7 linked regions of the Rattus norvegicus genome follow. The protein of the gene in region 7 interacts with the protein of the main gene of each other region in a pairwise test. Links are inferred from orthologs where the notes say so. Each region holds a gene or a part of one and is shown on either strand. Other genes may lie near its edges.

The links.
Region 1: the proteins of Sdcbp (region 7) and Tnfaip8 interact in binary tests that used the Homo sapiens proteins (3 or more experiments, as listed by UniProt). The two-hybrid records come from large-scale screens. The link is inferred for Rattus norvegicus from reciprocal best matches to the Homo sapiens genes SDCBP and TNFAIP8.
Region 2: the proteins of Sdcbp (region 7) and Cbr3 interact in binary tests that used the Homo sapiens proteins (3 or more experiments, as listed by UniProt). The two-hybrid records come from large-scale screens. The link is inferred for Rattus norvegicus from reciprocal best matches to the Homo sapiens genes SDCBP and CBR3.
Region 3: the proteins of Sdcbp (region 7) and Cdc34 interact in binary tests that used the Homo sapiens proteins (3 or more experiments, as listed by UniProt). The two-hybrid records come from large-scale screens. The link is inferred for Rattus norvegicus from reciprocal best matches to the Homo sapiens genes SDCBP and CDC34.
Region 4: the proteins of Sdcbp (region 7) and Psmc6 interact in binary tests that used the Homo sapiens proteins (3 or more experiments, as listed by UniProt). The two-hybrid records come from large-scale screens. The link is inferred for Rattus norvegicus from reciprocal best matches to the Homo sapiens genes SDCBP and PSMC6.
Region 5: the proteins of Sdcbp (region 7) and Cox4i1 interact in binary tests that used the Homo sapiens proteins (3 or more experiments, as listed by UniProt). The two-hybrid records come from large-scale screens. The link is inferred for Rattus norvegicus from reciprocal best matches to the Homo sapiens genes SDCBP and COX4I1.
Region 6: the proteins of Sdcbp (region 7) and Lztfl1 interact in binary tests that used the Homo sapiens proteins (3 or more experiments, as listed by UniProt). The two-hybrid records come from large-scale screens. The link is inferred for Rattus norvegicus from reciprocal best matches to the Homo sapiens genes SDCBP and LZTFL1.

What each region holds. Positions count from the first base shown.
Region 1 is NC_086036.1:45,482,966-45,486,536, forward strand, and holds the end of Tnfaip8 (tumor necrosis factor alpha-induced protein 8), read left to right. Parts: intron 1-1,405; coding exon 1,406-1,971; 3' UTR 1,972-3,071; downstream 3,072-3,571. UniProt on the Homo sapiens protein: Acts as a negative mediator of apoptosis and may play a role in tumor progression.
Region 2 is NC_086029.1:46,476,817-46,481,094, forward strand, and holds the start of Cbr3 (carbonyl reductase [NADPH] 3), read left to right. Parts: upstream 1-1,478; 5' UTR 1,479-1,589; coding exon 1,590-1,878; intron 1,879-3,500; coding exon 3,501-3,608; intron 3,609-4,278. UniProt on the Homo sapiens protein: Catalyzes the NADPH-dependent reduction of carbonyl compounds to their corresponding alcohols. Has low NADPH-dependent oxidoreductase activity.
Region 3 is NC_086025.1:10,670,808-10,675,080, forward strand, and holds the start of Cdc34 (ubiquitin-conjugating enzyme E2 R1), read right to left. Parts: upstream 2,801-4,273; 5' UTR 2,783-2,800; coding exon 2,606-2,782; intron 406-2,605; coding exon 319-405; intron 219-318; coding exon 121-218; intron 1-120. UniProt on the Homo sapiens protein: E2 ubiquitin-conjugating enzyme that accepts ubiquitin from an E1 ubiquitin-activating protein, and catalyzes its covalent attachment to other proteins by an E3 ubiquitin-protein ligase complex. In vitro catalyzes 'Lys-48'-linked polyubiquitination.
Region 4 is NC_086033.1:21,020,851-21,025,113, reverse strand, and holds the start of Psmc6 (26S proteasome regulatory subunit 10B), read right to left. Parts: upstream 2,801-4,263; 5' UTR 2,788-2,800; coding exon 2,661-2,787; exon of another isoform or gene 2,488-2,660; intron 1,741-2,487; coding exon 1,661-1,740; intron 1,578-1,660; coding exon 1,538-1,577; intron 578-1,537; coding exon 525-577; intron 1-524. UniProt on the Homo sapiens protein: Component of the 26S proteasome, a multiprotein complex involved in the ATP-dependent degradation of ubiquitinated proteins.
Region 5 is NC_086037.1:65,628,968-65,633,182, reverse strand, and holds the start of Cox4i1 (cytochrome c oxidase subunit 4 isoform 1, mitochondrial precursor), read right to left. Parts: upstream 2,801-4,215; 5' UTR 2,713-2,800; intron 1,743-2,712; 5' UTR 1,742-1,742; coding exon 1,669-1,741; intron 1-1,668. Other genes in the region: Emc8 (ER membrane protein complex subunit 8), read left to right, coding at 3,060-3,281. UniProt on the Homo sapiens protein: Component of the cytochrome c oxidase, the last enzyme in the mitochondrial electron transport chain which drives oxidative phosphorylation.
Region 6 is NC_086026.1:132,234,734-132,239,033, forward strand, and holds the start of Lztfl1 (leucine zipper transcription factor-like protein 1), read right to left. Parts: upstream 2,801-4,300; 5' UTR 2,758-2,800; coding exon 2,755-2,757; intron 520-2,754; coding exon 395-519; intron 1-394. UniProt on the Homo sapiens protein: Regulates ciliary localization of the BBSome complex. Together with the BBSome complex, controls SMO ciliary trafficking and contributes to the sonic hedgehog (SHH) pathway regulation. May play a role in neurite outgrowth. May have tumor suppressor function.
Region 7 is NC_086023.1:24,307,999-24,311,498, reverse strand, and holds part of Sdcbp (syntenin-1), read right to left. Parts: intron 3,083-3,500; coding exon 2,907-3,082; intron 1-2,906. UniProt on the Homo sapiens protein: Multifunctional adapter protein involved in diverse array of functions including trafficking of transmembrane proteins, neuro and immunomodulation, exosome biogenesis, and tumorigenesis.

The sequences.
Region 1 (3,571 bases), on a different chromosome or scaffold from region 7:
AGACCACAAACCTGCTTTAGATTCAGATTTTAAATGTAATGTGGATCCTCTTTGTCTCCACCTGACATCTAGCATGAAACTTGCTCATATATGACCTCCTAGCCTGGGTTTTGTAGTTCTGCTATTTTGCTTCCTACTGATGCTAGCTTTTGTCAAACAAGAGATCACTTTATATCACCAGTGCCTTGAGCTGTCCACCTTTATCACTAAGTGGTTATACGCCAACTGCTCTAAGTTTTCTGGAATGTACGGAGAGAACAGAAATTTCTGGAAACTCAAAGTACTGCAGTTCTGAGACCCTCAGCCAGGGGAAGAAGAAAAAGGGGAGTCCTAGACAAGCAGTCATATTGCAGCCAGCACATAGAAGGGGTAATCCTGAGAGAGCGGAGCTGATGTTGGTTTGTTGAGAGTTTGCACTGGGGCTCTAAGCTAGAAGCATTTTGTATGTCATTAATCTGTAATTTATGCAATTCTTCTGTGTGCGTTGAACATCTGCCAAATTAAGTCACGAGCATTCCAGAAGTCGACTCTGGGGGCCAGCTTTTCCAGAGGCTATTTTGCATGTAGCGTGTGTCATTGGCTCACTTTAAACTTATTTCCTCGAAACTTAAAAGCAAGAGTGGACCAGGAACAGCAGCTGACAGTGAGGTCTCTCTGGAGTATAACCTTTCAGAAGTTGACATCTGAGAGTGAAATTCAAAGTGGGTGGGATGGCTGGGAGAGCGATGACCGAAGGCTTAGGCACTTAGGCTTTCTGTAGCTGGTTCACAAGACAGGGCTGTCCTTGGGGTTCGCTGGAGTAAATATGCTATTGTACTCTGTATTGTAGCCTTGTTACCTATCCTACTTTCATTCAAGTGAGTTTAAGTTGTGTAGTTTGCAACTGCCTAGAAGATAGGTATAGAGTTGACTTAAACTTTTAAATATTCATATAATTAAGCTAAATAAAAAAGGCATAAAATTTTGCCGCCTCGTGAGACATAGTATTTCATCTTTAGATTTATTTTTTATATGACTATGCATACATCTGTGTGAGCACATGCTACATGTATGCAAGTACTCAGAAGAGGATGTCAGCTCGCCATAGAGCTGGAGTTACAGACAGTTGTGAGCCTGCCATCATGGGCACTGGGTTCTAAAGGTCCTCTACAGAGCAGCAAGTGCTCTTAACCTCCGAGCTATCGCCCCAACTACCGAAACATAATATTTTCAAATCAAAGGTTATTTTCAAGGAAGGTATCAACTTTAATGGCTATATGAACAGTATATCAGTAATTGGGAAACAAACTGTAAATAGTGAAGGAATGAGGGGAAGTACTCCTAATACTTGGAGGTTTGTCTGGTTTTGTTTTACTTGCTGTTAACTGATCTTTTGTTCTTTCTACCCTGTTGTTTTATTCTCTAGTGGCTACAGATGTCTTTAATTCCAAAAACCTGGCCGTTCAGGCACAAAAGAAGATCCTGGGTAAAATGGTATCCAAATCCATCGCCACCACCCTGATCGATGACACCAGCAGCGAGGTCCTGGATGAGCTGTACAGGGTGACCAAGGAGTACACCCAGAACAAGAAGGAGGCAGAGAAGGTCATCAAGAACCTCATCAAGACGGTCATCAAGCTGGCCGTTCTCCACAGGAACAATCAGTTCAACCAAGACGAGCTGGCCTTGATGGAGAAGTTCAAGAGAAAGGTGCACCAGCTGGCCATGACGGTGGTGAGCTTTCACCAGGTAGAGTACACCTTTGACCGCAACGTGCTGTCCAGGCTGCTGAACGAGTGCCGAGAGCTCCTGCACGACATCATTCAGCGCCACCTTACCGCCAAGTCTCACGGACGGGTTAATAACGTCTTTGATCATTTTTCAGATTGTGATTTTTTGGCTGCCTTGTATAATCCCTTTGGAAAATTTAAACCTCACTTACAGAAACTTTGTGACGGCATCAACAAAATGTTGGATGAAGAGAACATATGAGCTTGTGAGAGAAGACCGTGACCAGCAGCGATTTTTGTGACGTGGAGCACTGCTGACTCATAAAGGGAAGACAGAGAATCTTTTAGAGATCGCATGTTTTTCAGAAAGGCTTGGCCCCATACAGCCTGTTGTTGTTGGACATTCATAGTAGAACTCCTGTGTGGCTTGTTGTATTTGAAAGAAAGAAAAAAAGCATATTGCTAAAAAATCTGGCTGAAAATACCTTAATGAATGGCAGGATGTGGGAAAAATGGATGGTTGGTCATTCAGATGTCTAGTGATACAAAGACAGATGAGTGTGGCCCCAAGCGCTGGCACTTGCTGTGTTTTAGGGGAATCGTATTGGTGGCACATTGGATATTTCTAATATGTATTAAAGCTGTGTATCTTGACTCACCTTTATCCTTTGCTATGTCTGCGTATCTCTCTTAAAATGCCAAGAACCTCTCTTTTGCTGTCATCGATCCTTTGGAAACAATTTTGCTTCTTTAGTTACAGGTTGTCATTGACCTTTAGGAATTAAATCTGAGGGGTTGGGGATTTAGCTCAGTGGTAGAGCGCTCAAGGCCCTGGGTTCGGTCCCCAGCTCCGAAAAAAAGAAAAACAAAAGGGAATTAAATCTGAGGCAGTCAAACCGAATGCTCAGGAAAGCAGAGACCTGCATCTGAAGTCATGACCGTGGAAATGAGCAATCTTAACATCGTGAGTAACATCCACCGCAGCTTTTGAAGCTGAGTCCTACTTTTTAGTACCATCAGTGAGACTTAGAGTCTCAAAACCAGTGGCATGGCATTGCCTTGAAATACTTGCTTAGGGCCTAACTTTGATGTCATCTTGAACAGGTGCTCACATGTTCCCGTATTAACATCCATTTCACCCGTAGGAAGAATAAATTCCTAGATTGGCTTTGATATTGAGACAACAACATGTAAGTAGCATTTCAGAAATAAAAAGAAAAACTTCTTGAGTTTAAAGATGAACTCATCAGGTTGACTTAGGGGGGAAAGGATAGCAAGGATGTTGCGAAGTAATGTAAGAAAGATGCATGAATTTCAGTGTGAATGGGGATTGATGAATAAAAGACGCCATTTTTTATTTAATGCCTGGGATTTCGATTGTGTTATTTGCTATTTTGAGGAATGGACTGGTGTCCATATCTGTCTTCAGCACTTGGTGTGCCATGTCTGTATAATTTCTGGTGTGTAGATAATGAAGTAAACCCTTGCTTATTGTGTAAAAGAACTAGAAGCCATCTGGGAAGCAACAGACCCAGCCACTGACACTAAATATTGTCATTGCCACCGAGCCTATCGTTTGTCTACCTCAAGAATATTGACAGTGAAATAAAGATCCACCAGCAACGATCCCATGGGTGAAAATCCGGAAGTTAAGACCTGCTTTGACCCATCACAGATTGGAAGGAAGTGGTCAGGTTTCTTTGAGACCCAGCTTTTTCAGTAAAGATAAACAGCAATGCTTGTGTGATGTCAAATCCTGATTTGAGCTGGAAGTATATATAATTCTTCCCTCCTGGAGCCTCTGGATGGTTCCTAGAGGTTATTACACTAAAGTAATGGCTGCATTGCTGATTATTGGACTT
Region 2 (4,278 bases), on a different chromosome or scaffold from region 7:
TGTGTGCATGTGTGTGTGCGCATGTGTATGTGTGTGTATGTGTGTTTATGTGTGTGTGTTTGTGTGTGTGTATGTGTGTGCATGTGTGTGCATGTGTGTATGTGTGTGTATGTGTGTGTATGTGTGTTTATGTGTGTGTGTTTATGTGTATTTGTGTGTGTGTGGATGTGTGTGTGCATGTGTGTGCGTGTGTGTTTATATGTGTGTATGTGTGTATATGTGTGTGTGTGTGTGTGTGTGTGGTGCAGGGCTGGAGGCATGTACCCGTGTGTGCAGAGGCCAGACATTGACAAATGTCTTCCTCCATTCATCTCTTCCTGATTCTTTGAGGCAGAATCTCTCACTTGAACTCAGACCTTGACAACTTGGCTAACCAACTTGCCTGGGCAATCCTGCTTCTGGGATTACACACCAGCTGCCCTGCCTGACATTGTGTGGATCTTGGGGATTTGAATTCTAGTCCTTGTGACCTTTACCCGCTGAGCAGCAGCCTTGGCTCATTCACTTTCTCCCTTTTACTCAGTCCAGCATCCCAGCTCCGGAACCGTGCTTAGCTTAGGGTGGGTCTCATACCCTGTCAGCCTGAGAAACTCCCTCACAGACTGACAGACAGAGAGGTCCATCTCCTAGGTGGTTAGATCCTCTCAAGTTAACCATCACAGGCATGCCAGGCCCCCACAGAGCCTAGCATCTTCCAGACCTCAGGCGGGGTTAATTGAAACAGAAGGTGGAGTCAACAAACAAGAGGCGAAGGCAGTTTGACCGGATTTGCTTGGGAAACGCTGAATCACTGTGAGGATTTAATTGGCCTTAAACCTCAGAATCACTAGCCAAGTAGGATCAACACAGACTGGATTCCACTCAAGAAGGGAGGAGGTCTGACTGCATGCCCACATTTAGACGCGTCTGGAATTGTGTTCGTAGGTTCAGAATCTCCTTGGAAGACAATTCACATAGACCTAGACCAATACAGATCTATCTGCATGCCCATGTACACTTAGAATAAACCAAAGACCAAAGACGGGCACGGAGGGCTCCTGTACTACATGAGCCTTCTCTCCCACGTGGGGGCGCACCGAGACCTCCAGACGCGCAGAGCTCGCCCACACCTGTTCAGTCTACTCCCAGGCACTGTTCCCTCAAGTCCCTCAGCAAGCAGCGAGTGTGAATGTTAAGTAATCTCAGTGCTAGTTCGGTAGAAGCAAACGTTTGCATTTGCATAGAACGACGGGCTCTCGCCCAAGAAAATTACGGATCACTTATTTTCCTCCTTTTGAGGTTTCCCCAAAATAGTTGCTTCAATCCGACAGCCACGAGTCCCACTGACCCCTTCCTTTGGGAGCAGCGCTTGTCCCTGCCCAAGGCTTAAATCTGAACCAGGATCTCTACCCCGGCGGGCAGGCGGGAGGAGGCGGACCCTTCAGGAACGAGGGCTCCTCCTTGGAGGGGAGGGACCGACTTCTCAGGCCTTGTTCTCTAGCAGTCGCAGCGCCCAGTTCCAGAATCAAGTCCTACGCCAGGGTTCTGACCACGGCGTGACCCGCTGCCCAGCCGGTCTGACAGTCCGGTGGTCCGTGTGTCCCTCTGACATGTCGTCCTGCAGCCGCGTGGCCCTGGTGACTGGGGCTAACAAAGGCATCGGCTTCGCGATCACGCGTGACCTGTGTCGGAAATTCTCGGGGGACGTGGTGCTCACGGCGCGGGACGAGGCGCGGGGCCGCGCAGCGGTGAAGCAGCTGCAGGCGGAGGGCCTGAGCCCACGCTTCCACCAGCTGGACATCGACAACCCGCAGAGCATCCGCGCGCTGCGCGACTTTCTGCGCAAGGAGTACGGAGGACTTAACGTGCTGGTCAACAATGCGGGCATCGCCTTTAGAAGTAGGTGTGGGGCTCCAGGAGGAGGTGTCCGGGGTTCTCCGAGGGTGCAGGGCAGCGAGCCTCCGCGATCCGGAGGCTGCGCCATCCCGCCTGGGTGCGTCCGGCTCCCGCCCTGCGAGGCGTGTTCCCGCGTGCGGTGGGTGACTCGGGTGAGGGCACGCCCAGGCGTCCCACTCCACGCCCCACCCGGCCGGCGGCCTGTGCCGGCCTGTGCTCTGCCGGAGGCCCTCCTTGGAACTTTCAGCTGTGCCTGTTTGCAAGAAAACCAGCCTCCTGGGAGGGGACCACGCCTTGCCAAACTCATCAGCTTTCTGTCCCACGCACGAAAGCTTTTCTCAGAGAAGGGTCTTCCAAAAAAAAAAAAAAAAACCGGTTGGAGCTTTAGCTTTGCGTGAAACAAGGGCGCATTCATAGATCCCAGGAGACATCTGTTGAGGACAGGAAACGGGTCTCCCGGACACAATTAGCGCGCGCTGGCACGGGATAGTGAGTGGGTTTCCTACAGGCTTTAATGGAGTGTTTTGGGAGGCTCTAGCAAAAAGGAAGCGAGCCCTGCTTCCCCCCTCCTAGGGGAAACTAGGTTTGTTATTAAACTTAAAGCGGTTTGAAATCATCTCCCTTTAGGGGGGAAAAAAAATCAAGATCGCTTACTCCAACAAACGTTCAATTAGCAAAATTACCCAGTTGTCAGGTACTGGAACAGAAACAAACAGTTCTGCTTCACTTATAATGCTTAGAGAGCCAGGAGACCGACAAGGGGAGGAGACTACTGTGGAGCAGAAATCTATCAGGTTGGCCCTGGACAGGCATAGGCGCCTTGCATGAGACCCAAATCACCCTTCCACCCGCATTTCCAAACTCTCGCATTTCCAAACTCGGCCTGTGGGCTTCCGGGAAGGGGAGGGGTGAGTTCACCACCCCAGCCACTCTCAGCCTCGGATGGAAGATTTGGTGAATTACAGCCTTGGAAGTCCCTGCTTTTTTTTTTTTTTTTTTTTTTGGTTCTTTTTTTCGGAGCTGGGGACCGAACCCAGGGCCTTGCGCTTCCTAGGTAAGTGCTCTACCACTGAGCTAAATCCCCAGCCCCGGAAGTCCCTGCTTCTTAAGTGTGTGCCATGTGTATGCGAACTTCAGCAGCAGCTGCGCCCCTCACCACACACATACACACACACACACACACACACACACGCACGCACGCACGCACGCGCGCGCGCTGAGTTCTTACACCTGCCGCACCAGAGCCTGCATCTTTACCCAACCTCCAGGAACCGCCTACTTGAATTCAAGCTTGAGATGGGAAGATCAAAACTGGGTGTTCTTGAGATGCGGCATGAGCGGGGCTGATGAGAAACTTGGGATGCGGACCAGAAAGTTCTTTCCTTATGCTCACAGAGCTTTAGAAAAATCAAGTTCTAGTTTAAAGGTGTGTGTGTGTGTGTGTGTGTGTGTGTGTGTGTGTGTGTGTGTGTGGTTTACAGATGTGTGTATCACCAAGCTCACCCAGACTGTTCTAGAGTTAGCATGCTTCTCCTTTAGCGGCTATGTGATGGGATCCAACTTCTCACACGAGTTTCAGAGGAAAATGTAATTCCTCTTTCGTTTCTTCCTTGTACCTTTCAAAGTGGATGATCCAACGCCCTTCGACGTTCAAGCTGAGGTGACACTGAAGACGAACTTCTTTGCCACTAGAAATGTCTGCACCGAGCTGCTGCCCATAATGAAACCACATGGTAAGTCCAAAGTAGGACTACTGTCCCTCAGGAAGTGGCCACCGGTCCCTCAAATAGGGGAACTGACAGGAACCTCTCAAGGTTGCCATGCACGAAACTGCTCAAGGTTGCCATGCACTCGTGAGATGGAGGGTAGAATGTGCTTGTGGGATGGAGGGTAAAAGCCGCCTTATTTAATCAAGGTTTCTGGCTTTGTACTTGAGCCTCTTAGCTGTGCTTGTTGGGACTCTGTGGTAGTGATCAGTGTTCTTGAGGTCTGTGTCATGATCGCCACCTCCATCACAAGATGCAGCATGCCCCCAAAGGTCTGTGACAGTTTTAGAGAGTGCCCTCCCCCAGACCCCCAGGCATTGCAAGGATGGGCCCACCTCTGTCTTCTCTGGCGTTATAACATTCCTTCTATTCCTTTCTTCTTATGGGAAACTTAAAAAAAAAAAAACTTATGAGAAAGGTTTTTTTTCTAGATGTTGTGAGCTGGCTGAAAGGATCCAAAAGAAATAGCTTTTGTAGGGAAATGCCTTAATTATTAATTATTCTTAATTTCCTTCTAATGTTTATTGGGAGCCCACCATTTTACCATTAAACCCAGCACTGGTGCTATAATTGGACCCATCACACACAGGAGGACCATTTTATCCACAGGGCCTGAAGCTGAGTTGGAAGACAAAGA
Region 3 (4,273 bases), on a different chromosome or scaffold from region 7:
CCGTAGGTGCAAGCTCAGCTCCCCAGACTCTGGGAACCCCTGACTGGAGCAGGGAAGGGTGGATCTTAGGGTACAGGGTGTTTGCGGGTGCCCACGGTGCAGTTCCATGGCAATTCTCACCTGACATTCTGCGTGGGGTTCCACCGCTCTGAGGGTAGCTCCCCACTCTGTGGGTCATCAACTGGGGGATGGAGGATGGAGATGCATACGTCCCCTGTCTGCAAGAGTGACCAGGGTTAGAGGAGGGGTGGGGCATGTGCAAGGGAGGCAGAGAAGTGTGTGGTGGAGTGTGCCTGAAGCAGGCCTCTAGTGTCTTACCTCATAGATGTTTGGGTGCCACATCTTGGTGAGGAACCGGAAGGCTGGTGGGGAATATGGGTAGTCGATGGGGAACTTGAGGCGAGCCTACAGATGGCAGAAAATGGGGTGGCTCAATGGCAGGCCCCCGAGCACTGCTGGAGTCAGGGGCTGTGCCCACCTGCCGCTGGTGTACAGGCCCTGAAGCCAACTCCAGTCTTTGTACACCAGTATACACACAGCACACCTCTGTGACTTGACATCCAGGTTAGGAAAGGCAAGGCGGTTAGGAAAGGTGTGGGCTAGCTAGAGGAGTGAGTCAGCAGGTCTGCCTGGCCTCAGGCCTCCCACCAACACCACCCAAGCTCAGGGGCCCAGGCCAAGAGTAGTCACCAGACAAGCTGGAACCATCTGCCTGGTCACAGCAACTGCTTGTGGCTGAAGCTCACCCTGCCCACTGCCCCGACCTTGGACAGATAGAGAAGGCCTGAGATTTGCCCTAGTCTTGGAGCTCCCCAAGGACAGCTTCCAGTGTTCTGCCTGGCGCACACAAACCTAGTGTGGAGTTGCCACCCCGATCCTCTCAGGAGAGCAGATGGGGAAGGTGGCATTGCTGGAACAACACCCCACACTTCTGGGGCTCCAGATGCTTCTAAGAATGAGCAGACTGAGGCTCAGAACAGGAAGGGTTCTCTCAAGTGAGACAGGCTGGGCTGTCCAGAGAAGCTCCTCACAGCTCCCCTCCTACAGAGACTCCCCACGTCTCAGTCACTCACACCATATAGGAAGCTCCTACATTGGCGGATTTGAGTGACATCATGCAGGGCCTCCTCCTAAGCTACCTCAAGAACAATGTGAGCCTAGGAGGCTCTACCCACAATCCTTTACGGGCAAGGAAGAGTTCAGGTGACCCTGCTCTGAGCACCCCCCCCCCCCCCCCCGCAAACACAGGAGACAAGGTGCTAACAGCATCTGCATGTCCTGAAGGCGGCTCAGTTCAGACCACCTCCAGGTGGGAAGCGAGGGTGTCCACATGTGTCTCCCTCCCGTTCTCCACATGCTGTACCTGGAAACCCTAACTCAAACATTCCCCTGCATAAGGAGACTTGTGACTTTCCTAAGCACTGACCAAGAAGGGTGAGGACATCAGCCACAAAGGAAGACGCAGAACAAATAAGTGCCACGGCCCTACATCTGGGGCCCCAGACTGGCTGGGGTTTGCGTGCACCTTTGGCCCTAACATAAGATCCTGTGATTCTGCTAGTTCTAGTCCATGGCAGGCAGGATGATTCAACTGTGCTGACATGGGTACCTATACCTGGCCAAACATACTCAGTGTTGGGGGCTGCCTAAGCCTCCCTGCTCCCAACCACAAAAACATCTGGTGCATTGAGCCTGAAGCCACCAGAGGGCAGACGACACCCCTTAGAAGGAAAAATCAGGCCCCTAAGACTCCACCTGTTCAGTGGAACCTGAGAAAGGCTGTCAGGGTGGGGCAAACAGAGAGCTCTAGGGTCCAGGGCCCTTGGCAGGAACCCAAGGTGTGGCTCCAAGATTCAGGGTGGGCCCCCACCACCCCCTTGAATGCATTACGTGAAGCCTGGCCAGTGCTAAAGGTGGCTGTTGTCCAACAGGCACGGCTGCCAAGGCCCTGCCAGGGCCTCTACTGGAACTGGAGCAGGTGGCTGTCCAGGCTACACGTCTCTTCCCTGGGGACACATCGGCCAGTGGCTGCTCTGGTTGTGTTCCAGGGTAGGGGACAGGCCTGGGGATGTCAGCCAGCAGCTGCCCGTGGTCCTTTATGTCTTGAGATATGGACAAACTAAGGTGAACCTTTTCAGGTTTCACCACATGCTGGTGGGGTGAGGGACAACCTGGGAACATGCTTGCCAGCAGAGGGCTCCAGATGCTTCTGCGTCTTGTGGTGGGGAGAACTACACCGGAACAAGAAGGCCAGCAACTGTCCCTGGGGAGACCCTTCACCAGAAGCATGTTGGAAGAGTGGGGACAACACGGGGAGATACATCCCCAGGTACATGCTTAGTCCAGTGCACGACAGCCTGGGAACACACTGACCAGCAGCAGGCTCTAGAGGCCCCTACGTCTTGTAGTGGGGGTCTGCCTGGGGGTGCGGCATACATTAGCTGTCTCTGGTCATGTAGCCTGCTGGAGAACAGTATAGGGAGACCAGTCCCCGGGGTGAGGTCAGCACGTGCCCAACAAAAAAGGGAGGGGCCGCTTTGCACGAGGGGCCTGAGCCAGCCTGGGAGAGAGGCAGGCACAAAGAGGAAACTGAGGCTCGGCTCACCTTGAAGTAGCCGCCCTCATAGTAGGTGTTGGGGGGTCCGAAGATGGCCACCTCCCAGTTGTACAGGTCGCCCTCGTCCACCAGCGTCACCCGGAAGCCCTCCACCGGCTCCTCCTGCAGCCCCTTCAGCTCCAGCAGCAGCGCCTTCTGCGAGCTGGGCACCAGCGGCCGGGCCATGGCGGTGACGGCGGCGGCGGCGGAGGGGCCCGGGGCCGGGGCCGGGCCGGGCCGCGGGACCGGCGCGAGCTCGCGGGACGGACCGGGTCGCGCGCCGGCAGGGGGAGAGCCGCCGCCTTCCTCCTCTGCGCCGCCGCCGCCGCCACCACCCGGGGACCCCGAAGGCTCCACTCGCTCTGGCGCCGCTGCCCGCCCGGCGCTCGCTTCGGCCCGGCCCGGCCCGCGCCTAACGCGCCTGCGCGCCGCAGCCGCCGGGCCTCGAATGCGCCTGCGCACCGGCTCCCGGCCCCGAATGCGCCTGCGTGCCTCCTTCGGACCCCGAATGCGCCTGCGTGCCACACCCGGGCCCCGAATGCGGCTGCGCGCCGCTGCTGCCGGGCCGGAAATGCACCTGCGCGCCACTGCCGGGTCTAGAATGCGCCTGTGCGACGCCTCCACCGGGTCCGGAATGTGTCTGCGCGCCCGCCCGCGGGGCACGCCGGGAAGTGTAGTCTTCTTCCCCCGCCCTGCCGCGCAGGCGCCTTGCGTTTCCGAAGCCCCGGAGGCCGCCGTCGCCTCCGGCCGGAAGAGCTCCGCGGATGCCTGTGTGCGGAGTGGCGGGCAGGGCTGGGCTGCGCGCTGCGGAGTGGCAGCTGCGGCTTTGGGGGCCTTTTCTGTGACGTCAAGGGGGCGTGGTTGTGGGTGGGGAGTTGGGCGTGGCTTGTGCGGGAGCGGAGCAGGATCCGCCCTAGTTTCCCATCATGAAGCTATGGATGTCCCTATATTGTCTCTATGGGCTCAGGTAGAAGGAGGGCCCACAGAATCGACGATTTGGGGTTTGCAGACCTGGCTTCCAGCGGGTGGAGTGCTAACCTCTACCCTGGGAGGACTCTCATGTCAGGCTGTCCTTTGACCACACCCTAGTCCTGCTTAAGCAGTGGTGAGGCATCCTGGAAAGTTACAGGAGCGGGAACAGACACGCAAAGTCCCCGAGGTTGACCGGCATAGACACCCACACTCCTTTCTTGGACATTTGGTCATGAGTATTGAGGTGGCAGCATATTCAAGCCTTGCAGACAGGTGTGTGGTGTACCCGTGACCTCTAGGGGTGGGTGGTTCTGGCCCTAGGCTGTGTTGTTCACACAGCTGGACTGTGGGTGTCCTGAAGGACTACAGCTGCATCAATAACTGGGGCTGGGAAAAGGCAGCTCCCCCGCCCCGTAACCCCCCACAGGTGTGCCAACATCCTGTCCTGGCTGGGGATATCAGGCAGACCTGTTTGGGGATAGGGAAACAGTGTCAAAGGTGGGGCTGGTTGATGTGACCAGGAAGAGCCAAGGATCCAATGCCACTTGCCTGTCCTCCCCCTGGGAACTCTGGGCCCTTGGGCTAGAAAGCTTTCTGGTCATACTCCTTTTTCAAGGGCTTCCAGTATCATCTGTTCCCTGTTGTCCAGGCCAGATTGCCCACCTTACACTGTCACCTAGTTGTCAGCACATAGCAAATAGCCCA
Region 4 (4,263 bases), on a different chromosome or scaffold from region 7:
AACTTAAACTCAATACGGCAAATACTCTCAGGAAAAGTCCTTCAGTAAATGGTTAAGACGCTTCCTAAAGACTAGAATGATACATAAACCGCAGATGCTACTGATTCATTCTAAACTCCTTACTGACATTGTAAGTCTACAAATGAAATTCAGAGGCACTTCAACTTGCCCATTCTGGTCTAAATGTCTAAAACCAACTACTGTAGAGTCTGTAAGTAATGATTTTGAATGTTTAAATGTAAAACATGGACAACTGATACCCTTTTCAAGGAAGACATCATACTAAAGCATTTTTTTTCCTAGTTCTAAAATGATCTGATTTCTAAGTACAGATATCTGACTAGGGCAATATGTGAAACAGTAGGGACTAAGAAATTCCGGATTTTGCTAGTCATTTGCTGTGTCTAACGAAGTACTCAGGGGAGTTATGGGCACAATGCCTCACCCACCTATCTCAAGAATTAGGTAACTTACACAAAAGTGTTTTTCTCAGTTACAAAGCGTATACAGACAGAAGGCATTACCTGCCGACGACAGCCTACGACGTATCTTGGTCCGTTTGTTGCTTTAACAATGACTGGAAGAAGAACAATTGAAAAAGTTAGAAAATGGGGTTGGGGATTTAGCTCAGTGGTAGAGCGCTTGCCTAGCAAGCACAAGGCCCTGGGTTCGGTCCCCAGCTCCAAAAAAAAGAAAAGAAAAAAAAGTTAGAAAACAAATACATCTATGGTGAGTGTAGTTTTACTTCTGACCTCCAAGAACAGTAAATACAAAATTTAGCTTATGTAAAAGACCAACTCCTTGTATTGTTGTTACTAAAATACTAGGCACTTCAGGGCTATCCTGATAGCTTAATAAATAAAGGCACTTACACCCAAGCCCATTGATCTGACTAAAGCCAAGCCTTGGGTCCTAGCTTACATGGCGGAAGGAAAAAACTAACTCCCACAAATTGTCCTTTGATCTCCACAGTTATGCACATGCACATGAATGCACACACATATGCATACACATGTGTGCATAGGGACAGAGGAACACACACACACAAATAATAAATGCAGTAAGAATTAAAATAGCCTTTCATAATGGCACACATGCCTAAAATCCTGGCACTAGAAAGCAAAGGCAGGCAGATCTCTTTGTGAGTTCAAGGCCAGCCTAGTCCCCATAGGAAGCTGCATCCAGAGCTACATAGTAGTTAGTACCTGGCCTCGAAAATCAAAATAAAATGGGCATTTCAAAAGTTGAGAAGGTAAAATAAATAAATAAATAAATCTTTTTTAAAAAGGGGGGCTGGAGAGATGATGGCTCAGTGGTTAAGAGCACTGACTACTCTTCCAGAGGTCCTGAGTTCAATTCCCAGCAACCACATGGTGGCTCACAACCATCTATAATGAGATCTGATGCCCTCTTCTGATGTGTCTGAAGACAGCGACAGTGTACTCACATACATAAAATAAATAAATAAATCTTTAAGAGTTGAGAAGGAACTGGGGCTTTTTGTTTTTTTAACTAATTAGTAAGTCAATCCACTTACACTTTTCTTCTGTTAACTGTTTAAGCACTTCGCCTACAATCTGAAAAAGAAAAAAGGTGCATTATCTCTTGCCAGTAGTTTAAAAAAATGGCAAAACACTTTCAAGCTGTATCTATCACCCACCTGTCCAACACTTTGTAGTGCCTTCAGATCATTTTCAGACTTTTCATACTGCTTGGTAAGTTCTTTTAATTGTTCCCTTACTGAAATAATAAAACGTTGACACTTTAAATTAAAACAATAACTGCATTAAAATTTTTTACTTAGGTCTCTTTTACCTTCTGTAGGTTTCATACCCACAGTATCAAACCACGAAAAAAGAATTTGCAGTTTGTTAATGGACAAGTGGCATGTTTTAAAAGGAAACGTAACAGAGAAAGTACCATATATCTATTTTCTTGGAATGAAATACTTGAGCAGAGGCATTTTTAAGTTACATTCTTAACAGATAGTGATAGTCTTGCCACTTTCAGATTTGCTACAAAACTAAATGATAATTGGTGAATCAAGCCTCCCATAGCTACACTACCTGGCTTACTCTCTGGTTGTCGATATAAATAAAGCCAACCAACGCAATTCTTCACCGAATCATAGGCTGCGGTATTCTCTCGTTTAATTAAATTACGCAGGCTTTTCAAAACGCAAATGCTCAAGGTGTACGGAAACTTGGCACTTAGTATGAATCCCGAGGAAAGACGAGAAGGGTTATCACAACCACTGCGTCCTCTCTACTCCAAGTGCAAGCCTCCTCCAAGAGTCCCACATCCTGCTGGAGCTTCTTTGGCTCAAAAGTCCTCCCGTCCCCAGGTCCCGAGACTCCAACCCTGCCTTCCTTGCACCTGGGATATGTCCCCAGCCCACCTGTTCCTCACTCCTCTAATCCTCCCCTTCCCTTCCACCTCGGAACTGTGGCTGTTCCCTATGCCACCGGACTGGGGCTGGGGCCATACCCACGGCCGAGGCGGTGCTGCACCCCAGCACGGGGCGGGATGACAAAGCGCCTCGTCCCTGGACTCAGGCCTTCCCAAGCCGGGCGCTCTGTTTTCGGGCTCTGCCGAAGCCTCCACTCTATCAGAGACGGAAGCCGGTCCAGGCACTAGAGAGTGTGTCAAGGCTCACTCACGCTCCTTAAGACGGCCGTCAATCTCCTTGTGTTCTAGCAGCTTCTTGCGGTAGTCCTGAAGCGCCTTATCTCTAGGGTCCGCCATGATGAGAAGCCGTCGCTCATAGGGGATGCCGGGAAGGGCCATAGCAGCCCGGGCGGGGGAGGGGGCGGGGCGAGGGCGCAGAGGCGGCCTGGGGCGGGATCGTGGCTGGCTCCGCCCCTTCCGGCTGGCCCGCCTCTCGCTCCCGGAGCCTGAGTATCTTGAGTCACCTAGAGTGGCTGAAAGCCTCGAAAACGCTGAAGATGGTCACACTGTCCCCTGCAGGCCAGAATGAGCAATGCCGGACGCAGCTACTGACTGGCTCAATATTAAGTCACTGCTTTCCTAGAACGCCAAAGGCTCTGTAATGAACTGAAAAGGAAGAGGAAATGACAAGACTATTTTTTTTGAGACAGTGTCTTGTAACCCAGGCTGCCTTGTCACTCACCACGCAGCTGAGGGCTTGAACTCTGGTCCCCCTGCTTCCTAGTGAAATTACAGGCATAAATCGGACATTCAGTATGTGCTATGTGGAAATCGAATTCAGGGTCTCCTGCATGCTAGGCAAGTGCTTTTCCAACAGTTACATTTCCAGATTCAGCCTTTTTCTTTCCCAAATTATTTATTCGTGTGTGTGTGTGTGTCTAACTCAGGAGGGCAAGTGTTCACAGAGGCCAATAGAGGGCACGAGATTTTCCGGCTCTGTAGTTGCAAGCTGCTGTGATTTTTTTTTTAAATCTTATCTATTTTATTTTATGCATATAAATGTCTTGCCTGCATGTATGTGTGTACAGCACGTGTGTGCCTGGTGCTGGAGGAAGTAAGAAGAAGCCGCATGATCCCCTGAAACTAGAATTACAGATGATTGTGAGCCACTATGTGGACATTATTGCTCTGCCAAGAGCAACAAGAGCGATTACCCTTTGAGCTATCTCTCCTGGCTCAGTGACTATGTTATTGACAGGTTGGGAGTGTAACATTCGTAGAGTGTTTACCTAGCACACAGAAGGCCCTGAGTTTAACCCCAGCACTCTAAAAGGAAATTAATACACTCCACAAACACACAGAGATCTTAAGGGAGAGCTGGAACCACTTTCCAGCCCCCAGATGCAGCCTGTTCATATCAACTGCATGGGCAGAAGTAAGCAATTTACAGCTACTCAATAAAGTACTCACCTCCTTCTGATCTAATAAGGACATGAAAAATGGCTTGAATAGGGGCCAGAGAGATGATGGTTCAGTGGGCAAAAGAACCTGCCATGGAAGTCAGGTGACCTGAATTAGATTCGTGGAACCCACCTAAAGGTGGTATGAGGGTGCACATGTACAGATGCATAAACGATAATAAATCATAAAAATATCCTAATGTAGTAAATGCTACAATTGAAATAAAAGAATACTATGGGGTAAGGAGGAGAATAAAATTTGAAAACATCTGAGATGAGGTGGTGCCCCGCTATGTCAGCACGTGGAGAGCCTTCTGAACAGATTAAACAGCAAGTGCAGTGCGTGACTCTGAGGTAGAGGGGAGCTTGGCTCACGTCTATCAGGGAAAGGAGGCCAGCAGGACTGGAAGGAAAT
Region 5 (4,215 bases), on a different chromosome or scaffold from region 7:
AGCTCACAGCCTTACTTCCAAGTAGACCTGGGTTGTAGAAACCTTCCCAACCTACCCAGGCACATGCCAGGCTTTACACATCAGGGGTTCGCAGTAGCCCTGCATGCCTTAGTAAATCTGAATCTTTGGAGGAAATTTACAAAATAATAGAAGGGCAAAGAAAGGCAAAGACTCCCTGTACTCAAAAGATCACTTCTGTTCTCACCCAAGGTGAGCGCTGCCTGGCTTGTCAGACGTTAGGGCTCAGACCGCTTCTCAGTCACCTCACACCACAAATACCTCAACTGACAGCAGTGCCCCAGTGGAGTCCCAAAGCGCCCTAATACTGTAAGCACAGATGTCCAAGGAGATTGAAGCTCCTTGTCCACTGGCCAGATTAATAAAATGACAGCCAAGCCAAACTGAAAATTGGTCTTGTCACAGCTTCCCGTGCTCGGAGATGGAGCCTGTCTTTCATGTTGGTTAATAAAAGAGGGATTTTCCTTGCCCAAACCCTTCAATAACACTTAATGTCTCAGCCTGCACCTCTGGTGCCCCCGGGGGAGAACAACAGGACACAGCATTAGAACTACTGCAGGATGGCTGCACTAACACCAACACGGAGGGCCGCTGTTGCATACTCAATACATGCTGAACAAGGTTCTCCAAACATCTCATCTACAACCCAAGCCTCATGCCTCACACTGCTAGCCCTTCGGCAGCAGAACCCTTCTCCTAGAAGCCTTCCCAAGTGCCAGCCAGGCTACACAGTCCACCTCTAGGGCTAACGCTACCTTCCCGTGGCCAGCCCACTCCATACTGCAAGCTCTGTGGAAGGTCCACCTCACGTTATCTTAGTCTCAGTGCCTAACACTGGTAGGAAGAACAGCTTCACAAGTGCCAAGATAACGTGGTGACATGCCAGGCTCAGAACCAAACCTTGCATGTCTGTATATTTCAGCTGAGAAGGCCGATCCTTACAACAGCAGGAGCTAGCCATGATTGCAATGCAATCCGCACAGCTCTGACTCAAGCCCACCCAACGGCCTTTGCTTCCACTGCTTCCAGGATGGAAACAGAAGGGGGGCTTAAGAGGGTCAGAGTTTTGTGGGTGGAAAAGATTAGAGTAAGATATGGAGACAGACAGAAGGGACAGAACTTTACCGGTGTGGTACTGTACCTTTAACCATAGCATTCAGGAGGCAGAGTCAGGAACCCTGAGAGTTCAAAGCCAGTCAGAGCTGCACAGTGAGACTGGAAGGAAGGGCAGAAGGAGGGACGGAAGAGAGAACTAGAAAACAAACTGTGAGAGGAAACTAAAGCAAGCCAAGATCCTGGCGAACAGGATTTATCTATGCTCCTTCAAGCAGACAACCGTCCTGTTCAAATTCTCATCTCTCCCTAAAATCCCCGCAAGGTCAAGCTACCAGACATCTTTGTTAAAATCCTAGCACAGGATCTTAGACTTAGGGGCAAAATGACATTAAGTTGGCCTATTTGAAAGTAACAGTCCTTAGCCAGGCCTGGTGGTGCACATCTTTAATCCCAGGGAACTCGGGAGGCAAAGGCAGAGGCAGAGGCAGGTTAAGTCTCTGAGCTCCAAGGCAGCTAGGGCTACCCAGAGAAACCCTGTCATGAGAAACCAAAGAAGGAAAACAGAAAAGGAAAGGAAGTAAAAGCCCCACTTACCATGTGCCCGAAGGCACACCGAAGTAGAAATGGCTCTCTTGCCAATTAGGCTAAGTGCCCTGGTAGCCAACATTCTGAAAGATAAAAAACGTATATCCCTAACAATGAGAGAAAACACCTTTTAGCACAAGTCTTTTTGCCACAGAACATTGAGGAAGTAAACGCAACTTATTCCCCCAACGTTAAAAAAAATTTTTTTGGTATGATTTCATCAGCTTTTTAAGGCACAGGCTGACCTTACCATATCTACCTCATAAGAGCTGGCATTGCAGGCCAGAGGCGTGCACCCAGAAGCCAGTTTTTATTACTGAGGAGAAGGCATGAAATAGCACAGGATAAGGTTCTTCTACTCAGTACACATTTACAGAGCTTCCTGATATCAAACCAAGGGCTGTGATATACATACATGGCTTTGGCCACTTACTAGAAAACGCAGCTTTTTAAAGATTAACTAGAAGGCCAGAATGACTGAAACTGCTAGAACTCGGTATAGCACGGTGCCACCACGAGCTGTTCCTCTCTGTGGCGGTGGGAGCACCGCCTGCGGACTTGGTTTTATTTTAAAAATCGACTTGCGCAGAGACTGCGAAGGACAAGCGGAGGAGGCCGCCCAAGCCCTAGCCCTGGCGCGCTTCCCGTCCCTGCGGCCCGCAGGCGACCTGGATGACCCTGTCACCCGCCCCAGCGACCCGAGCTCCACGCCTCACTTTAACACAACCCCTCTTGATTTCGCTCCCCGAGAGCGAACGCCCGAGACCGCAAAAAACAACGCCCGTGGCGGCAGAAACCGTAGCGTGACGTCAGGACTCAGCTCGCTGTCCCTCGGGCCTGGCGGAGCGGGAACGCCCGATGCTGGGCAGGCCGGAACCGAACGGCAAATGGGGACCCAAGACAACAGATCCGCCCGGGAAGCGGGCGCCCCAAGGTCACGGAGCTGCTCAAGTCCCGAGTCCGGGGGCGCCTCGGAGGCACCGCTCCGGCCCCGGCGCTCCAGGATCTCGGCCCATGGCCGCGCCGCCCTCACCCGCTGTCAAAGGCCGTCACCTGCCACTGCTGCCCAGGCGACCGCCGCGACCGCCCTCTACACCCCGGGTGCTCGCGACCGGAAGAGCGGGTCCCGCACCGGAAGAGCAAGACGGTGCCGCGAAGCATCGCGGGAATCGAAGAAGCCCCGCCCACGTCCATCAGCTTCAGATCGCGGTGCGGCAGCTGTCGCGAAAGGCCGAGCAGGCCGCGCTGCTTTCTGGCAGACGCTAGCTAGCGACTACGCTTTCCGGCGGGCGGACTGAGGCGGGAGGCTGTAGCTGGTGGTGGGAGCTCATCTTAGCGTGCAGTGGGGTCGTGTTTCGTACTGTGGTGCGTTGGTCGCGACGCGACCAGCTAGGCTCAGCATGCCTGGCGTGAAGCTGACCACCCAGGCCTACTGCAAGATGGTGCTACACGGCGCCAAGTACCCGCACTGCGCCGTCAACGGGCTTCTGGTGGCAGAGAGGCAGAGGCCGCGCAAGGAACATCCTCCCGGCGCGGGCAACCACACTCTCTTCGTGGACTGCATCCCGCTCTTCCACGGCACGCTGGCTCTGACGCCCATGCTGGAGGTGGCGCTCACCCTAGTAAGCTCGGGGCCACGGCGGGGTTCTGGGCTGGGCGAAGTCAGGCGCCCTTCGAGGGAGGAGGAGCGCCTGCTCCCGAGTACGCAGCCTAACGAGCGAGCTCTCGAAGTTTCGTAAAATTACCAAGAAACCGAGTGTGGTGTACATTCTTAAAGGCAGCGCTCGGGATAGGGAGGCAAGCGGATCCTGAGTTCGAGGCCAGCCTGGTCTACATAGTGAGACCTGGGATGGCTAACGTTTAAAGTTTAAGCTTAATGTGCTTGTGAGACCACAGAGTGGGGAAGATGCCTATAGCATGTGAACCTCTAGTTTTACAGACTGTATTTTGTCGGCCTGTCCCCCCCCCCCAGAAGCTGAAGACTATTGTAAAACTTGCTGTTTTAGCAAGATTATAAGTCATAATACCGACTGCTATTTCTGCTTTTGTAATCAATCTTGCTTCCTCTGCTCAAGAGACAGTTGCAAGACCCAGATTTATAACTTTGTGGAGTTTGCCTTTATAAAGCCCTAGATTGCTATGGCCAGGCGCTACGTCTTGGGAGCTCTCTCAGGTGCTGTCCTGAGGCACCAGAGATACAAATCTGTCCTGCTGCCAGTATTAGAATTAAAAGCTTCCGGATGTAAAACAACCCACTCTCAATACAGCTTCATTTACATCTCAGAATGAGCTCTGGATGTAAAACCTGAGCTGGCACGGGAGGAAATGCTAATATTGTCTCCCCCTCCCGCCCCCAAAATGGCTGCATTGAATCTCAGACTTGCTTTGAATGTAGCCTCACACTAGCCCCTGACCACCAAAACTTCCTGCTCTAGGTTCTTGGGAACTGGGATTGCAGACATAACTAGCATTCCTTGACATCTTATTTCTTCTTTTGATTTTTGGGAGTCAAGGTTTCACTTTAGTGGGCTTGGCTGGTCTGGGACTCTGTAGAAT
Region 6 (4,300 bases), on a different chromosome or scaffold from region 7:
AATTACCTGCTGAGAAATGATGGTAAGAAAATATTAGGTCTCTGTCAACATTACGTCTCCCTAAGAGCAGAATACTTAACTGCAAGTCAAAGCATACAATAGCCTATGTCAAAGAGTTTCAGGCGGCTGGTACTGATGTTGCGGGGCAGGTTGGCCTGGGCTGTGTCAACTGTGCCTGCAGTGTGTTCAGAATGATGGCTGCAGTGAAGTCACGAGATAAAACTGGGAAATGCTGCCAGAACACTTCAGAGTCATTTTGTATTTAATTATGAAATAATTTTTAGTGATTACATTTTAAGAAACTTTTACTAATGCCAAATTTTTAAGGAATCCACATTCATTCAGTTATATGACCCACAGTTTTAAGAAGTTAGGCCTTAAAATCTCTTGATACCTGCTTTCCTTGAGGTCTTGAAAGCAGGAATCTACCGTTTTAAGTCTCAAGCCTCTTTTTGAACGAGCGAAACGCATGTAATTAATGACTTCATTTTGATGGTGCTCATTTAGGCCCAACTCTGCCTGAAAAAGAGAGAACTGGTTAGTCCTGAGGAGATGACAAAAGAAATGACAACAAAAATGAACAAGGTAATTTGTTGGGCATGGTGTACTGGCACCTGCCTTTAATCTCAGCACTCAGGAGGCAGAGGCAGGCAGATCTCTGTGCCTTTGAGACCAGCCTGATCTACATAGTGAGCTTCAGGACAGCCAGGGCTACCCAGAGATACAGTCTCAAACAATAACAGTAACCAGTGATGCTCATGATACTGTGTTGTAGTAACTGATAGATGTGTATCAGGTTGCCCTCCTGTCCTCTCCCTACCCAGCTACCTTGCAGCCAAATACACTCAGGTCACATGACTACTTCTCAGGAAAAGAAGGACTCCAAAGAGGTGTGGGGTATTTTTCAAAGACTTAAGATATGGGGTATACCTTATACCTCTGTCATCTCTAATGTCTCTGAAAGTAGGCAGAGTAAGTAACTAGGATGAGCCATGCCATTTTTATGCCCCAGGGCTGGAAGAACAGAAGGATGAATAAGACCTCGGTCTTCACCTCATGGAGCAGCACCGACTCACTCACTAATCTGTATGAGATGGCTGCTGCGTGAGGGGAAATGAATGCCTGTATTCCTTATTCACTGATTTTCAGATCGCTACAGAAATGTAACCTTACCAAATACAGCCTTAAAAGGTATATCTGGCTTGAAAACAGATACTATAGTCTTCTTAATAAACCAGATATTGTTCTAAAATTAAGAAGCTGCATAGATAAGTGCAGCTCTCAGACCCAATCAGCTTAGCCACAACCAGGATATCATCCCTCTGTCCCCCTGCAAGGCTCAGAAACTATCTTTGAAGAGGGAGCAAAAGACAAAAACATCCGTGGGGAGCGGACCAAAACCATGCCTTCTTTCTGGGCAGTGGTTGCACAAGCCTTTATTTACAACACTAAGGAGGCAGAGGCATAGGCATAGGCAGGTGGATCTATGTTTGAGGCCAGCCTGGTCTACAGAGAGAGATTCAAAACAGGGCTATACAGATAAACCCTGTCTTGAAACAGCAACAACAAAGATGTCTTCTAGACATGACAGAACTGCTGAACTAGGAACTCCCAACTGTGGTTGCCTGCACGAAGTCAGGCCAATTAACAATCCAGCATAGAGACACGGAGGGATTTATGAGACCCCACTTCTAGCTGAGGAGTTACCAACAGTTGATTTATGAAGGGTAGAGAGTCAGTTTCTTTTAAGAGTGTGGCCCAAGAAAGGTGATGGTCCCACACATATGAGTACATGGGCAGCACAAATTGGACTAGGTAGGCTTAAAAAAAAAAAAAAAAACAAACAGGGCAGGAAGTGCAAGATAATTCTGAAAGAATCTGGGGGAAGGATTTTAAGTACATTGTATGAATGTATAAAATCTTTAAAGGATAAAAATATTTTTAAGGTTGGGGATTTAGCTCAGTGGTAAAGCACTTGCCTAGGAAGCGCAAGGCCCTGGGTTCGGTCCCCAGCTCCGAAAAAAAGAACCAAAAAAAAAATTATTTTTAAAAAGGAAGAGTGGGCTTATTGCTTAAAAATTTTATGTCTTATGTGCTTTGTTTAGATGAATCATTGTATCAACCCTTGTATAACTTTCAACTTATTAATGAATAATCTACACGGTTCCAAGTGGTATCAAACTGACAAAAGAGTAAGAACACAAACAAGTACTAACTTTTTTTTGTTACACCACTAGCAACTTTTTCTTTTTTCGTTTTTGAAATCAGGTGAAACAAGACCAGTTCTAAGCTCAGAATTGTTTAAGAAATGGTCTGTTTTGTTCAGATGTGTACAAAGTGACACATCCTTCAACTTCATTTCCGTGCTTTTATCTATGTATGGCTATTTAAATTAATTGTTTGGTGAGAGGTTGGATGAACTGGTGTTTTCAGTCTCAAGGTAAGCCCGAACTCTAATACCCAAATAGTCTTCAGAAGTCCAAACAAAGAAAACACCACCCATATTTAATCAGCTGTAAGGTGCTTCAGAAAGTTGGAACCAGCCCCTAATTCTTCATACTGGCAAATGCGTGCTGCTGTGAGGGCCAGGGCTTCCCAGACCACACCAGGGAATGGGGTGACAAAGCCGGAGAAAGGCTTCAGCGAGGACGCTCTCACCGCGACTCGGCCGAGGTGATTCCAGCCTCCCTCCCCAGCGAGGCCCCGCTCGTCGTCCGCTCCCGGGCCGGGCCCTCTCCCGACCAGGATACTCACCATGGTTGTGGAGGGATCAGACAGGAAACAGGGAGGCCAGCACTTGGGGCCTGAGGAAAGTAGGTTGTTTAGAAGCCGCGGGTTGCCAATGGGAACGGAGACACGTGGGCCCTCGGTTATACACTATCATTGGCTCTTAGTGTCACGTGACAGAAAGTGCTGCGTAACTGGCTAATTTCTTCAGGTACATTGGCTTTGAGATCCGGAAGTCCCACCTTTTCTTGCCACGCTAACCTGGGGCGGTGCCTGCCGTTGCCAGTGGCAACAGAGAAATGGGGCGGGGTTCCGGGGGGTTGGGGGCTGGCTCGAGGTGCCAGCGTGTTTGCCTACGGTCAGGACAGAAGTTGGGCTTTGGCACCAGGATCCAGAGCGATTCCGGACTTCGGCACCCTCTGAGAATAACCGGCTGAATGAACAGGGCTTCAGCTAACAAGCTAGTGCTGGCAATGATGCATGCCCTTTCTCCATCTGCATTATTTTATAATGCTGACACAAGAGACTAACTTTACCTTTTAAAAAATGTACAAAAACATAGGTTCATATAGAGCAGTGAATTAGAGAGACAGACACTAGATTCGCCAGGAGAAGGTTGTAGAATAATGTCCTGATCTCCCTGGCGAACGTTTTCACTTACGAAGTCTAGCTTGAGTCATTAGAATTTGCAAGTTTAGCCTTGTTCCAAAGTGATGACCACCTCTAATTAAGACACTGTCCTTGGTCTGCCATGATGGTCTTGTCTTTAACTCCAGCACTTGTAAAGCAGGGGCAGAAGGATCTCTGTGAGTACAAGGCCATTCAGGGTTACATAATGAAACCCTGTCTTAAAAAAAAAAAAAAAGACACTGTCCTATGAAAGACAAGTATAGAAAGAGGTTATCGCAAATATTGGGTACCCTATCTGATGAGCATACAGCCACTATAGGCCAGCACCATATCTTTTGAGGAGGCACTGAGTAAGCCAACATCATGCAGAACTGCTAGCCTTCTGAGCCCGGGAGACTTAAAACAGGAGGGAACAAACATTTAACATTAGCTCTGAGTTATCAAAAGTTAATTTTGATGGTGCGTTTTGAGATTGTCTTTCACAGTCAGTACAAAGTAGAGTATAAAGTGAATCACAGTTGGGTGCTTTTAGATGCAGAAGAGTTTTAGAGACATGGTTCCAGAACTACTTGGAGAGGAAGAGACTGAGATTCTACAGACTGGAAAGGTAGATGGGGGCTTTGATGCTTGAGTCTTAAAGCAATATAAATGTGTTTTCAAGACAAAAAAAATCAAAAGACTATTGCCAGGTGTTCTAATACAGTGGACATTAAATATGATTCTAGTTTCAAGAATCTTCTTTCATTTTTGTCATTTTATTCTATCTAAATAATATTATTAGTCAGAAAACAATAATTATCACAGGAGCTAAGCTTAATTTAAAAATCAATTTGAGGGCTGGCCGTAGGTTCAGCAGGTAAAGGCACTTCCTGACAAGCCTGATTACCTTATTCGATTTTCCGGATCTACATGGCAGAAGAGAGCCAATTCAGGACTGTTGTCT
Region 7 (3,500 bases):
TTCACGGATTCGTTCCTTTCACTTACTTACTAGGTGTGCTATGCATAAAGTGTAAGTTGCAGGATGAGCTCTCCCCACCACGTGCGCCAGGACCCCACCTAGGTGGCCGGGATTACAGGCAAAACTTGGCTCTAATGTGAAAGACCCACCAGAGAAGCAGTGAGTGGGGGTTCATGAGGCCTGACTGGACGGGAAGGCACAAGCTACAGTTAAAAAGGCCTCGAGCTCTGCCTGCAGAAGCTGTCATGCCACTAATGCTCGCTGACTGACTTTCTGAACGTGCTCTGTTTACAGCAGGAAAGTCTGCAGCTCTACCTTCCTATTAGTCCAACTCCATTCAAAGTAACTTTTTAAATCATTTAAGAATATATCTAGCCAAAGATGTGAAAGCCCTTTCTGTAAGTGACAGATTCTCCCAATGCAAAAGATACTGAAAAAGGAAACCACAGAAGTTAATTGATGATGGCAAGTCCAAGCAACTGGATTGGCCGAATTATTATAAAAATACCTTTACTACAACACAATTAATTTGCAGATTTAATGCAATACCTATCAAAATTCTAATATTGGACTTTACAGGTTTAGAAAAAAAAGCAAACCAAGAATTCCCTTGGGCCCTTAGAAGAGTGCAGCGGGCCAAAGGGATGCTGAGGAGCGAGGACGCTGCTGGGGCTGCCATACTCAGGAGCAGAGCACCCACCGCTACAGCCTGAAGAACTCTTGGGGCTGGTGTAAACACAAGACCACCGCAACGGAGTGAGTGCACGAAAAGATTTGGCAACAAAAGCAAAATCATATAATGGGGAAAAAACAATTCAAGAAACAACACTGGCAAAACAGATTCTACCTGTGGATGAGTGAAATTAGATTCACTTTGTACTAAAATAAAATAAAAATGGACCAGAATCCTAAATCCTAAATGGCTCCAACTTCTAGAAGAAACCACAGGGACACCCTTCAAGCACTTGAGGTTGACAACAACTCTGCGTAGAGCAGCAACAGTAAAGGGATGAAGCCCAAGATTCAAGATGGGACCACATGGAAACAAAATATTTCTGTACACCAGAGGAAACAATCAGCACAGCAAAAGGCCACAGCATGGGCAGCCTTTACCAAACTTCAGACAAGCTGCTAACACCCAGAATTTATAAATAGTTGCAGAAATTACATACTAAGGAAATAAAGTCACCAATCAACAGACGGTCAAATGAACTAATAAAATATTTTTTCAAAATAACTTAAAAGGTCCAGTAACTATGTTAAAAAGTTCAGCGGGGAGGTGGCACATGCCTTTAATTCCACCCTTTAACCTCAGCCCTCGGGAGGCAGAGGCAGGCAGATCTCTAAAGTTCAGGGACAGAACAGTCTACAAAGTGAGTTCCAGAACAGCCAGGGCCACACAGAGAAACTGTCTCAACCTCTCAGCGCACAAAAACTGCTCAGTCATCAAGAAAATGCAAATTAAAACTACTTCAAGATACTACCCCTCCACTCATCAAAATGACTATTATCAAAAAACAAGGGTACAAATTAATATAGCCACTAATAAGTTTAGAAGCTTCTCAAAAAAAATAAAACACAAAAAAAAACAAAACAAAACATTAAATTAGCACATGGCCTTACTACTTCACCCCTAGGCACACACTACATGCAGAGAACCCCACAGCCTGCTGCTGACACACTTGTGCCCCTACACTTAGTCCTGCTTTATTCACTACAGCAATGAGCTGGAGTTAACCGAGATGCACTTTCCTCCCAGTCGGAACCTAGCCAATAGTGTATGCACATAAACAAAGGTGCACACGATACAACATGGAAAGCAATACGGTAAAGGTTAGGGCAAAGGAAAGGACTGAATGCAGCTGGTCCACACTGAGTTATAAAAGAAGTTAAAGTGATTTCTTTTCTTTCATGAATTTGCTTATAGTTGTGAGTAACTCAAAAAATACATTCTAGGGTGGAAATGTAAAATCCACCATGAAGCTCCCTCCACAGCTTCTGTTCCGGATAGCTGTACATCAGTACAGAGGTTCCCTGAGATTCCGGATAGATGAACATCTGTACAGAGGTTCCCTGAGGTTTATAATGTTTGAGTCTGGTGAATTCCAACATGTGATGTCTTTGTATTTGCAATGTTACTGCTTTTTTTTAAAAAAAAAGGCACAGGTGGGCCTGTGCATGTGAGTGCAGGTGCCTATGAAGAAAGGAACAGATATTACAGGCGGCTGTGACCCACCCTATTGGGTATGGGAACCAAACTGGCCAGACCTGGTCCAATTTTTATGAAATTCTGCTTTACACATTAAAACAATTTTATGGACTTTTCCATTTTTATTACATTTAGGAATTTAATAAACATTTTTTGATCAATGTCACTTTTACTCTCTCAGAGTGGTGATACTGGTCTTAATACTTGTGGGAGCTGGGAAGAAAAGAGGCAAATCATTTTTGTACAGTTTCCAGGTTAAAAGTAGACCACCGACCATGCAGAATGACTCATCCTCTTTTACTTAACTGCACAACCACCCCAGACCAGATTTGGTTTCAAAACTGAGTCCTTAGGAACTCTCTGACATTTAGTCCTCATGACAAGGGGCCCTGGCACTGGACGCTTAGGCAGTGTGCTACAGAGTGAGGCCACAGCCCTTCCTACATCAGTTACTCCTGATGCATATATAACCTTTCCAGAGAGAGAGACAGGAAAGCTTGCTTAGAGGACAGATTCCCAGACAGGGTGGTAAAATGTATATGCAAATGTAGACTTCTATGAAAAGAATCTAACTACGTAAGAAAAACACCTAACAGCAAGATGTAATAAATCAATATTTGCCTTAAAAAATAAAAAGTAGACAACTCTATTTAAATATGGGCTTGCACTTCAGTGTCACTGGTGGGGAGCAGCTCACCTATCACGAATGGTCATGGTAATCTTCTCTCCAAAGGCCTGCTTGAGCACCTTGTGTGCCTTATCGGAGCTCCAGCCGGCACAGTTTTCACCATTGATCTGGAGCACCTGGTCCCCAAATCGCAGCCCAACCAAGGAGGCTGGGGAATTAGCCTGGACTAGTTGAACAAATATACCCTAGAGAACAAGAAAATAATTTATCACTGCTACATGTAACTCCAGTTTCTGGGGACCTGGCATTATTTTCTGACCTGTAAGGATACCAGGCATGTATATGGTGCACAAATATGCCGGCCAACACTCAACACAAACAATTATAAAAACAATTAAATGATAGTTTGGGGTAACAATTCCGTATTTTTTTAGCTCAAAGGCCACTTTATTCATCTCTTAAAATAATCAATAAAACTGGGGATAAACAATAGCAACAACAAAGTACTTCTAACAATAAACTCCCAGGACACACACACTTATCTTGAACTTCTGTTGGTTCAATCAGACTTTGAACCGAGCACAAGCCTACAGTCTGTGGTGGACCAGACATGAGATCTGCCATGAAGCAGTAGCAACAGGCAGCATCCCACTGACTGACCTG